Linked DNA regions of Saccharomyces cerevisiae S288C. The gene in region 2 interacts genetically with the main gene of each other region. Each region holds a gene or a part of one and is shown on either strand. Other genes may lie near its edges.

Evidence for each region.
Region 1: mutations in PHO81 (region 2) and YNR068C together harm fitness more than expected from each alone (negative genetic interaction), as found in Saccharomyces cerevisiae (one large-scale study listed by BioGRID).

Annotation. Positions count from the first base shown.
Region 1 is NC_001146.8:759,345-762,949, forward strand, and holds YNR068C (uncharacterized protein), read right to left. Parts: upstream 1,542-3,605; coding exon 723-1,541; downstream 1-722. Other genes in the region: BSC5 (Bsc5p), read right to left, coding at 1,779-3,248.
Region 2 is NC_001139.9:953,850-959,793, forward strand, and holds PHO81 (Pho81p), read right to left. Parts: upstream 4,362-5,944; coding exon 825-4,361; downstream 1-824. Other genes in the region: NAS6 (Nas6p), read left to right, coding at 111-797. UniProt on the Saccharomyces cerevisiae protein: Inhibits the kinase activity of the cyclin-CDKs PHO80-PHO85 and PCL7-PHO85 under low-phosphate conditions.

The DNA.
Region 1 (3,605 bases), on a different chromosome or scaffold from region 2:
GTAACCAAATTGGGAGATTTCGTGCCTTTTCTGCTGGCTTTCATAACAAAATATAGCCGAAAAGAGCTTAGCGCAGCTGAACTCGGTAACAAGGTTCAGGTAAAAAGGGGAGAAAAAAAGAAAAGAAAGCCAGATCTTTCAAAAATATGCCAGCAAATACCAAATTGGTCATAAAATAGCTAGCACTCCGCTATCGAGCAAGTTCTCTTGGCAAGCAGGCTTATTCTATTCTTTTGCTGAAGGAAAGGCCAGTTCTATGCTTATAACCTTAAGTAGGAAACATATGCGCAGCTTACAGCGCATAAAATTGATGGCAACCCATTTAGTGGTACTATTCCTGCGTTATTACTAGTATGGTCGCTTTAAAGAGTGGTAAGATTTCACATTTTCAAATCTAAAAAGCAAAGTTTATCACTTGAAATGTACCTCTCTGTGGGCTTTCACTACCTTGTACATTTTCTTAGCAGTTCCGTACATTTTTTTAAACAATGAAAATTCAAAGTTCTATGTATAGAGATTATTTAGGTTTTTAGTACTTAAAGTATTTTGAGAATACCTTGGCAAACGCAGAACAATCGTAAAAGAGATTGCTACTGCGCACTGTTTCCTTGCTTTATCACTTTCAGTTCTGCAAGAACTAAGGTGTTTATCAGTAATGATACTGTAATATCAATAGCGATAAAAACTTCGTCAGTGAAACCATTCTTTTTAACAGCCATCTATCAAATAAAAGAGTTTTTAACTTGAACTGGGATATCAATTTCAGCAGATCCAACACCTTTATCAAAATGAAGTTTTACGCGGAGGAAATATGACCTCGAGCATAAACAACTTTCAAAACTTGGCACTATGGTAGCTTTAAAATCATCATTATATTTTATATTCAATAACAGTGTTCTCTTATACTCAGTTGAACTGACCTGATTCCATTCATTTGATTTCCGATGTGAAAGTACCGAATGGTGATAGTTTGATGGGGAGGTTTTTTTATTCCTAGAAGTTCGAGGAATTATGCTGGATATAGGAGAAGAAGCAACAGGCACACTTTTCTCTCCAACCAACTTCGTTTTCAACGCATTTTTCATGACAACAACATTGGCTTCCATATTGGCTAAAACCTGTACGTCCTTAATTATACTCGAAGGCATTAAATCAGAAAAATCGAGCGATCTATTACGCAGGCTAGCTCTTGCGTCATCGGCAAGAAGTAAGTTTATTTTTGTTTGATTTTTAGTGAACTCATCGCGATATGCTTCAATGTTTTCCAAAATTTCCTTAAATATTTTCTTAATTTCATTGTATTTGTGCTTCTTTAAAAGTAAATCACTGTGGAACCTCACTGGTTTGCAATCTTTTGTGTTCGTTGTTAAGCAAATCAATTCCGTCTCCAGACTACTGATTTCCGGTGGGTCATGTGGAATACTATTAGCAGCTTGCATACATACTAGTTCAAGCCGTAAATTTTCTAGTTTTTCTCTCTCTTCAACGGACAATAGACCTCTTAAATTAGTCCAGTTCTTTTGATTCTGCCTGTTTCTCATTGAAAATACATTTTGTTTTTGAATTAGATTTGGACACCAATATGGCAAAGCATTACTAGGGGGCTTTATTTTTATTGTTATAAGCCCAATTTTCTCTGAGTTAGTCTTTGAAGTGGGATCATCTGGTTGAGATGAAGGAATATTACGCACACTTTTGAGAAACACATTTTTCAGACCTGTGTTGAAGAGAGATGCTATAGAGTAAGTAATTTCAGTTTGAATTTTATCTTCTTCAGACTAGTGTTTCTTTTTAAGTGTTCCGTTTTCAGTATTTCCAGCTACCGCGTTCCATTCATACTTACCTCTTAGGGGTGATAGTTGATCAGAGCGATTCGCCTCCTGTATGTCCTCCTTATGAATGGGAATCGCTCGCTCTATTTTAGAAAAGACTTTTTCGATCATTCCAAGCCTGTTTGCAATTTCAATATCGAAATCCTCTAAGTCTTTGAGGCACTTCTCCCTACTAATTGGATTGTTTTGAAAGCCAAATGGAACTATCCTTATGCTATACTTTTTTTCACTCATTAAACAAACACGCCCAGAAGCTACGTCTTTGCCTACTATCATAGCATTTATTGAGTAATTTATTAAGCTGCCACTAGAACTGTCGTTTAACCATAGTGAGGAACCTCTTTCTGACAAACGACCATAACCTAAACTCTCCGAAAATTTTAGAGTAGAAAGCTCTGGATGAGAACTCGATGGTCTATCAAACCCTAATGTAGGGGGCAAAAGAGAGTGAGAGAAGTGACCGTGCTTACAGGTTACGTCTAATAACTGGTTCGGAATTTTAAAAGTGAAAAATTTCTTACGTTTATCACCTGGATTTAGTATCCTGCTATTCGGTAATCCAAAGCTTGTTTTATCAATGGAGTCAAAAAATCCACAAAGGTCTTCCCCCGTGTTCACGTCTTCATGATTATATGACCAACTCGCTGCCATATCTACCATTCTCAAAATTCTTTCTGTCGTTTTTTGGATTCCAAAGGGTGACTGTGTTTTTGAACTTGTCGTACCTTCCAAAGTTAAATAAAACATATCGAATTTTATAGGTTTGGTTGATTTGTTTTCTACAGTGAAATAACCGTGAATTATATCCCCAGAGGTGTATTCCCTTAGCATGCTCTCGTGTTTAGGAAGCTGTCCAAATTTTGGAGCCGTCTTTGTGACGTACAATTCAGTCGCTATGGGGGTTTTAATCCTAGGCAATGCGTATATATTCTCAACTGGGATACCTTTAGTATCATCATAATTACGAATTTGAGACTCAGCAGGGCCGGAAGCAAACCGGCGGCCATCAACAGTCACTTCATGATTATCTGGGCCAACGATATCACCGGTAAGAATCCGCATATCATTCCCAGACTCACCTTCCGAAGGAATACTCTGATTTCGGGAAGCAACCTCATAAAAAGGTGGATTCTCCGGAAAGTATGTATCGAAACTAGATTGAGGTATATTGCTGAGCAAATTTTCATACATTTCGAATGACGGCAATAGTTCTGGAAGGACAAAGTCATCTTCCTGAACATTCGTTATGCTCGAGCAGTGATCTCCATTATTGCATGCGAAAGCGTCTTCTTCCTTTCCTTGGGATGTTCCACATCTCGGTTCCTCGAAGGAGGTTCCTCCAAAGAGTGTGGATGAAGATGAAGATATTCTTTGACAACCTTCAAATTTATTTTGTGGTTCTTTTGATTCTTGCATAAAGAAAAAACTTGATTATTCTTTAGTCTTCCAGACCAGCGAGGCTATTTAGTTCTATTAGATTGATATACCAAAGCGACTATGGAGCAAGTTTTACAATATCTGTATGATTGGCTGTAAATGCAAAACTAATTGTAGTAAACCAACAAGTGCTATGCTCTTTAATCAAGGGAAGCATTTAAGAAGTGATGTGATCATATTTTGTACAATTGGAATTGCTTCCCTTCTATAAGTGTGAATTATTGTTCATATCTTCCAAGGAAATCATTTAAATGGCATTGCTTATCTACTGAACATTTAGTAAGCAAAAGTGAAATTTCTAGGGGACTGTTCGCTAAAGCTGTGCGCGGTCTAAAG
Region 2 (5,944 bases):
CTGTCAAGTATGATCGAAGGGCCCTTCATAAAAGGGTTCTTTAAAGAACGATCAGCTGAAGCTGTGATAATAAATGCTACATAAATGCATGCCCTTAAAACTGTATAACCATGTCTAATTATCCTTTGCATCAAGCCTGCATGGAAAATGAGTTTTTCAAGGTACAAGAGCTGCTACACTCCAAACCTTCCTTGTTGCTACAGAAGGACCAGGATGGCAGAATCCCTTTACACTGGTCAGTTTCTTTCCAAGCACATGAAATTACCAGTTTTTTGCTTTCTAAAATGGAAAATGTTAACTTAGATGATTATCCAGATGATTCTGGATGGACACCTTTCCATATTGCTTGTTCAGTGGGGAATTTGGAGGTGGTAAAGTCTCTTTACGACAGACCTCTAAAGCCTGATCTAAATAAGATAACCAATCAAGGAGTTACATGCTTGCACTTGGCAGTTGGTAAGAAATGGTTTGAAGTATCCCAATTTTTAATTGAAAATGGTGCGTCCGTAAGAATTAAAGATAAATTTAATCAAATTCCATTGCATAGAGCTGCGTCGGTGGGTTCTTTGAAATTAATTGAACTATTATGCGGTTTGGGCAAAAGCGCTGTAAATTGGCAGGATAAGCAGGGTTGGACCCCACTATTTCATGCTTTGGCTGAAGGGCACGGTGACGCAGCTGTATTGTTGGTGGAAAAGTATGGTGCAGAATATGATCTTGTAGATAATAAAGGCGCTAAGGCAGAAGATGTTGCCCTTAATGAACAGGTTAAAAAGTTTTTCCTAAATAATGTATAAGATTTCAAAACTACATATTACAGAACTTTACATATCAATATTATTCTCAAAAAGCAACTCACAAGCGTAGTAGATCCCGCTGTAACCTCCATCAGCTGGTATTTGGTCATTTTCCCCGACCGATGCAATCAACAGTAGTCCGTTTTGTTTGATGATCCTAGCCAACGACGGGCATATCTTCAGTACTTCATATGGAAGCGTTACACCTAACAAATTATTGTTCATAGCAAATTGAACCATTGTATGTATGTTTATTAGTTCCGTGTTTAAATACGACATTTTTTGAGGATTTACGGCCAGTTCCTTTAAACAATTAGGAGTATCACCTACAAATTTGCCTGTGGTTGAATCTCTGAGTAGATTTTTCATTTGCAACAAAACCGGAAAATTGGGTTGTTTCCAGTTAAGGATCGAGCAAGCTTCCCAATTGCATGAACTGAAAACTATTTGGCGCATACTCCCACTTCCGCTGTGACGCAAAAAACGTTCATGCTCGAAAATGATTAGTAAAAGCTTATCAATGAATTGATTGATATTTATAAATGGCGATATTTTGATGGGAATTGTGTCAATTTCCTTATCTGTAGGAAAATATACACGAATTACCAGCTGGGCTGACCCGGGAATAACTTCTAGTAGGCTTCTGAGAGGCACCACTCTCGAAGATAAGTATTGTTTCAATGTTACTTCATCGAAGCTTCCATCAATTTTACCGAAGTCATAATCCACTACCTTTTCCAATTGTTCTTTCGTTAAATCATTTAACAGAATCTTCGTGCCTTTGAATTCAACGTATGGTTTTGGCGCAGCCACTATGGTTTCATCATTCAGAGCGCAAACTAATACACTAATAAAACTGCCATTCAACGATGAAGAAGTAACAAAATTACCGTCTTTACTAGAGGTCATTAAATCACTTCCTGTAGATTTCCAATACGGCTCATAATTTATGATTTTCAGTGGATTTCCCGGATAAGGAAAAATAATTTGGTAATCCAAAGTGAGAGATCCAATATTATTTAGTCTTGTGTCGAATAAGGGTAAATTCATGGTTGCAATACTATTTATTGCCACCTTCTTGAAAAGGAATGGCATTGCCGTTGTTTTGGCAATTATCCTTGTGCCAAATGAAGGAAATATCTCGAAATCCATTGAAAAATCGTCGATTGAATCTACTTGGAAAATTATCTCTCCATCATCATGATCTTCACTAATTTCATCATCATCTTCTTCATCATTTGTTTCACTGATATCCTTACAAAAGTTATTAATTTCGCCAGATCTAACAGGTAAAATAACATTTCGCGGTATTATTTCAGGTAAGTTTGAGGATAAAGTAATTCTGCCTGGTGATGATGACATAATAATGCCGTTATCCTGAGTCAACTTGATAGACTCGAGACCTGGCCTCAACTTTAATTTGATGAAAATTTTTTTCTCCAAAAAATTATGACCATATTTCCTTAGTGGAATGATTGGCGGTGGTAAAGCAAAATCCGGAATGCTATCTTGAATGTCTAAATCAAATTTGTCATCATTTGGGGTTAAATCTATTGTATTAAGGCGTTGCGTACTAGACTGCGAATTTATTTCATTCAGGGGTGCAGATGGCAAATTTAATGGTCTTTGTAAAAGTGCATTCAAAACATCAACGTGGCTCTCCCATAAGGCGTAAAAAAGTGGCGAATGGCCGTTGTCATCTTCAATATCCAGACGTGCATTATGTTTCAATAGTTCAGTAATAACTTCAGAATGACCTGAACGAACAGCGTAAAAAATGGGCGTCCATTTATTAAACCCATCAATTTCGTTGGGATCCGCCCCATAACGTATCAATAGTTGAATTAATTGTGGATCGCCGCCAATTTTTGCCACTATATGAAGAGTGCATAAACCTGTTGAGTTCTTTTTGAAAAGCGGTTGACACAAGTGTTGTGAACTTTTGTTCTTGGCATTATCAGCATTTTGCTTACTCCGAATTTCTAAAAGTAACTTGGCGGCGTCATGATTATTAAATTTACAAGCAACATTTAAAGGATCGAACTGGACTTTAGTAGAGCTGATTACATTCTTACTATAATCCAGAATTGGCTTTTCAATGGGTGATGCGTTCGCACCACCAATAGTCAGCAGATCCCTAACAACATCTATGTGGTTGTTAGTGATAGCCAAAACCAAGGGTGTCTTAGAATCACTATCAATGGGATCAACGTCCTCTAAAAGATTGGTGATTAGCAACGAGTGAACAAATTCCAGTTTTCCTAGCTCTGCAGCATAATGTAGCGGCACCCGCGAATGTATATCTTGGGCATTCAGTAGTTTTTGTACTGTTTCTTTAGATAACTTTGATGTTGTTAAAGCCTCATCTAGAATAAATAAGCGTGATTTTTCTGGACAACTTGCAGCCTCGTGAAATACGTTTTTTCGTGAAAATACTTGATCATCTTCGTCACAATATGACAGATCAATATGATCCTGATTGCTTTTATAGAAAATATGCAGAGAGTTATCGTCCAAAGGACTAGCCACCAGTAATAAAAACAGCGTCGTTAAGCACTCCTTCAACAAAGAAAAGACATTTTTATGAAAAGATTCTGAGGAATTTTGTAGCAGATATGTGAATATCTTGGTTTCTCTGAAGTTTCTTAGTAGTGCATGCTTTCTTTGAACATCTTTCACCGTGGCTATATTCAAAATTTCCTTATACCAGTTTTCGATTTCCATCTCCATGTCCAAGGAGGAGGAAGATGCTTGAAAAAGATGTTCAAGTTGGTTTTCCGAAATCTTTGATGTTGTTAATTCATAATTATTGTGTAATATGTTATTATTATTGTTGTTGTTGTTGTTGTTATTATTATTGTTATTATTATTATTGTGTTTATTATTGTTGCTGGTATTATTGTCGTCATCATCGTCATTAGTAAACGTACTGGATTGTATGTCTGCCCTTCTATTGTTGTTGTCAATATCATTCAGCTCTAAGAGAATATGTAAAGTTTCATCGTTTAATTTTAGTGGCCCATCTCTGGTAAAAATTGGTTGAATGGAAACAACAGTAGCAAGGTAAAAATCTTTATCGTGAGATTGAGATCTCTTGTCCCATTTCTTCAGAGCTTTTGAAAATCCCGTTTTATTTAACTCAACATACTGCTCCAAATTTCTAAGATCCTTTTGAAACTTTTTGAAAGCCGCATATAAGTTTTTAAATGAGGTAGCTTGGTTTGAGTTTAGCTTACCATTTATCTTATAATCTTTATATTTTGAGTGTAATATATTGAATTTTATTCTTAAATCGGACTCTCTCGCCAAATAATAACCATTTACTTTTTCCAGCTCCCTCTCTAGTTTAAAAAAAAAGGCAGCTTTATTTTCTTGCAGTCTCTGATGTATAATTTTTTCGTCGATGTCATCTAATGTTAAATGCAAATCTAAATCTGAACTAGCCTTTAGCGTGGGAATGGCCAATTGTTTGATAAGTTTCTTTAGAGCCTTATAATCAATAAAATGGCTGTTGTACTCCGCCAGTTCCAACTGCCTGGCTTCCAAATACTTGCCGAATTTCATTGCACGTTTATCTATCTATGTTGCCTCCAAAGGGTTATTCTCTCAAAAAGCTCAATCACTGTGGAACCGAAAAATAATGTTATGAAGATTTTTTGAGCAGTATGTCTTGTCAAAAGCTCAACTAGTGCAGCTGATGTTGCTTAAAAAAATAAAAACCAAATTTTTCTACTTTGCTCTTGTACGTTGCACAAAGAAGATTATGTAACAAACTTGAAGGGACTCTCAAAAACTTGCTATAAATTGTACAAAAGCCTCAATATCACCTAGTAGTGGTTCTATACCTGTCTCGAGCCATCGCCAAATAGTTGATAAATTTGATTAATTTCTGCCCTTATTCGCACGTGCCATAACACCTGTACCTCTCACGCTAAAGACCTTTATAATCAAGGAAACTTGTTGCTGCAGAGGAAATAGGAGGTAATGAATTGTGATAAGGCACATCACATCAATTTTTCTTGCATTCTTGCATAGAAAGATAGGCTGATGCAATTAGCGCGTTTCAATCGCGTGCCAAAGACGTATATACTAAGCAATATAACCGAATTGATTAAGTAGTTGGTTAATTGTATATTTTGTGATAAAGATGGTTAACTGACTTAGGCGGACATAATAGTAGAAAATCTATATAATTTTTCCCATGCAGTTGTTATTACAAAATGCAATTCTTGAGATAGCACAAGCAAGAATAATAGGGCACGGTACGTTCATTCACGTAGCGTTAGCTAGTGCTGCCACAAGGTAAACGTACGATTATATTCATTTTTGAAACGGAAGTTCTTTGTAACCCTCATGCTCGTTTGATAGTCACTTAACTACAAGATATTCTCGTTCAGTGATTGCTTGCTTATAAATCAGGAAACTTCATTTTTATTCCTTACATTTTCGAAAAGCCCGCAAGGTTTTCTTCGCCACGCTCAAGCATTCATCGTTGAAAAGCAAAACTGTGCACACTGTACCTTAGGCGACTCTTCTCCGAACAAGCTCATGGCTCATTTTTAAAATCACAAGCTTCGTATAATTGCCAAGACATAATCTAATTGAGAAGGTCAGACGGCAAAACAAATGACCGAAATCTTCGTTTATTGGTTCGCCTGCGTTGCCAACTGGTACATTTTCCCAGAGTACCAGCAAAGGAAGGCATCCTTGATGCCTACTCTGATACTGTGGAGGATTTAAACTGAAAATGATAGTCTGCGCGGCAAATCTTTCTATTTCTACTAAAGTTGGATCCTCCGGCCGATATAACGTATTCTTTTTATCCAATAATGTCAATTTTAAATGCTCGATTACTAATCGTTACTAAAATAGCGGACGCGCTTATGCGTCTTCGACGGATAGTTTTCAGATCATCCCTCTCAGAAAGCAATGCAGGAACCGCCTGTAAAACTATCTTTTGCTGGCACTCACACATTATGGTATTGATGCCACCTGAAAATACGGAAATTAACCATTCCTTGTACGGAGATCTAAGAGCAACTATTATTGAATTGTTGCCGTTAAAGTTTCATTTCAGTTCCGTGTGTGGTCAAGTACAAGACTACTGATGAAATATGTTGTACACACACGGAAATATATATATATAT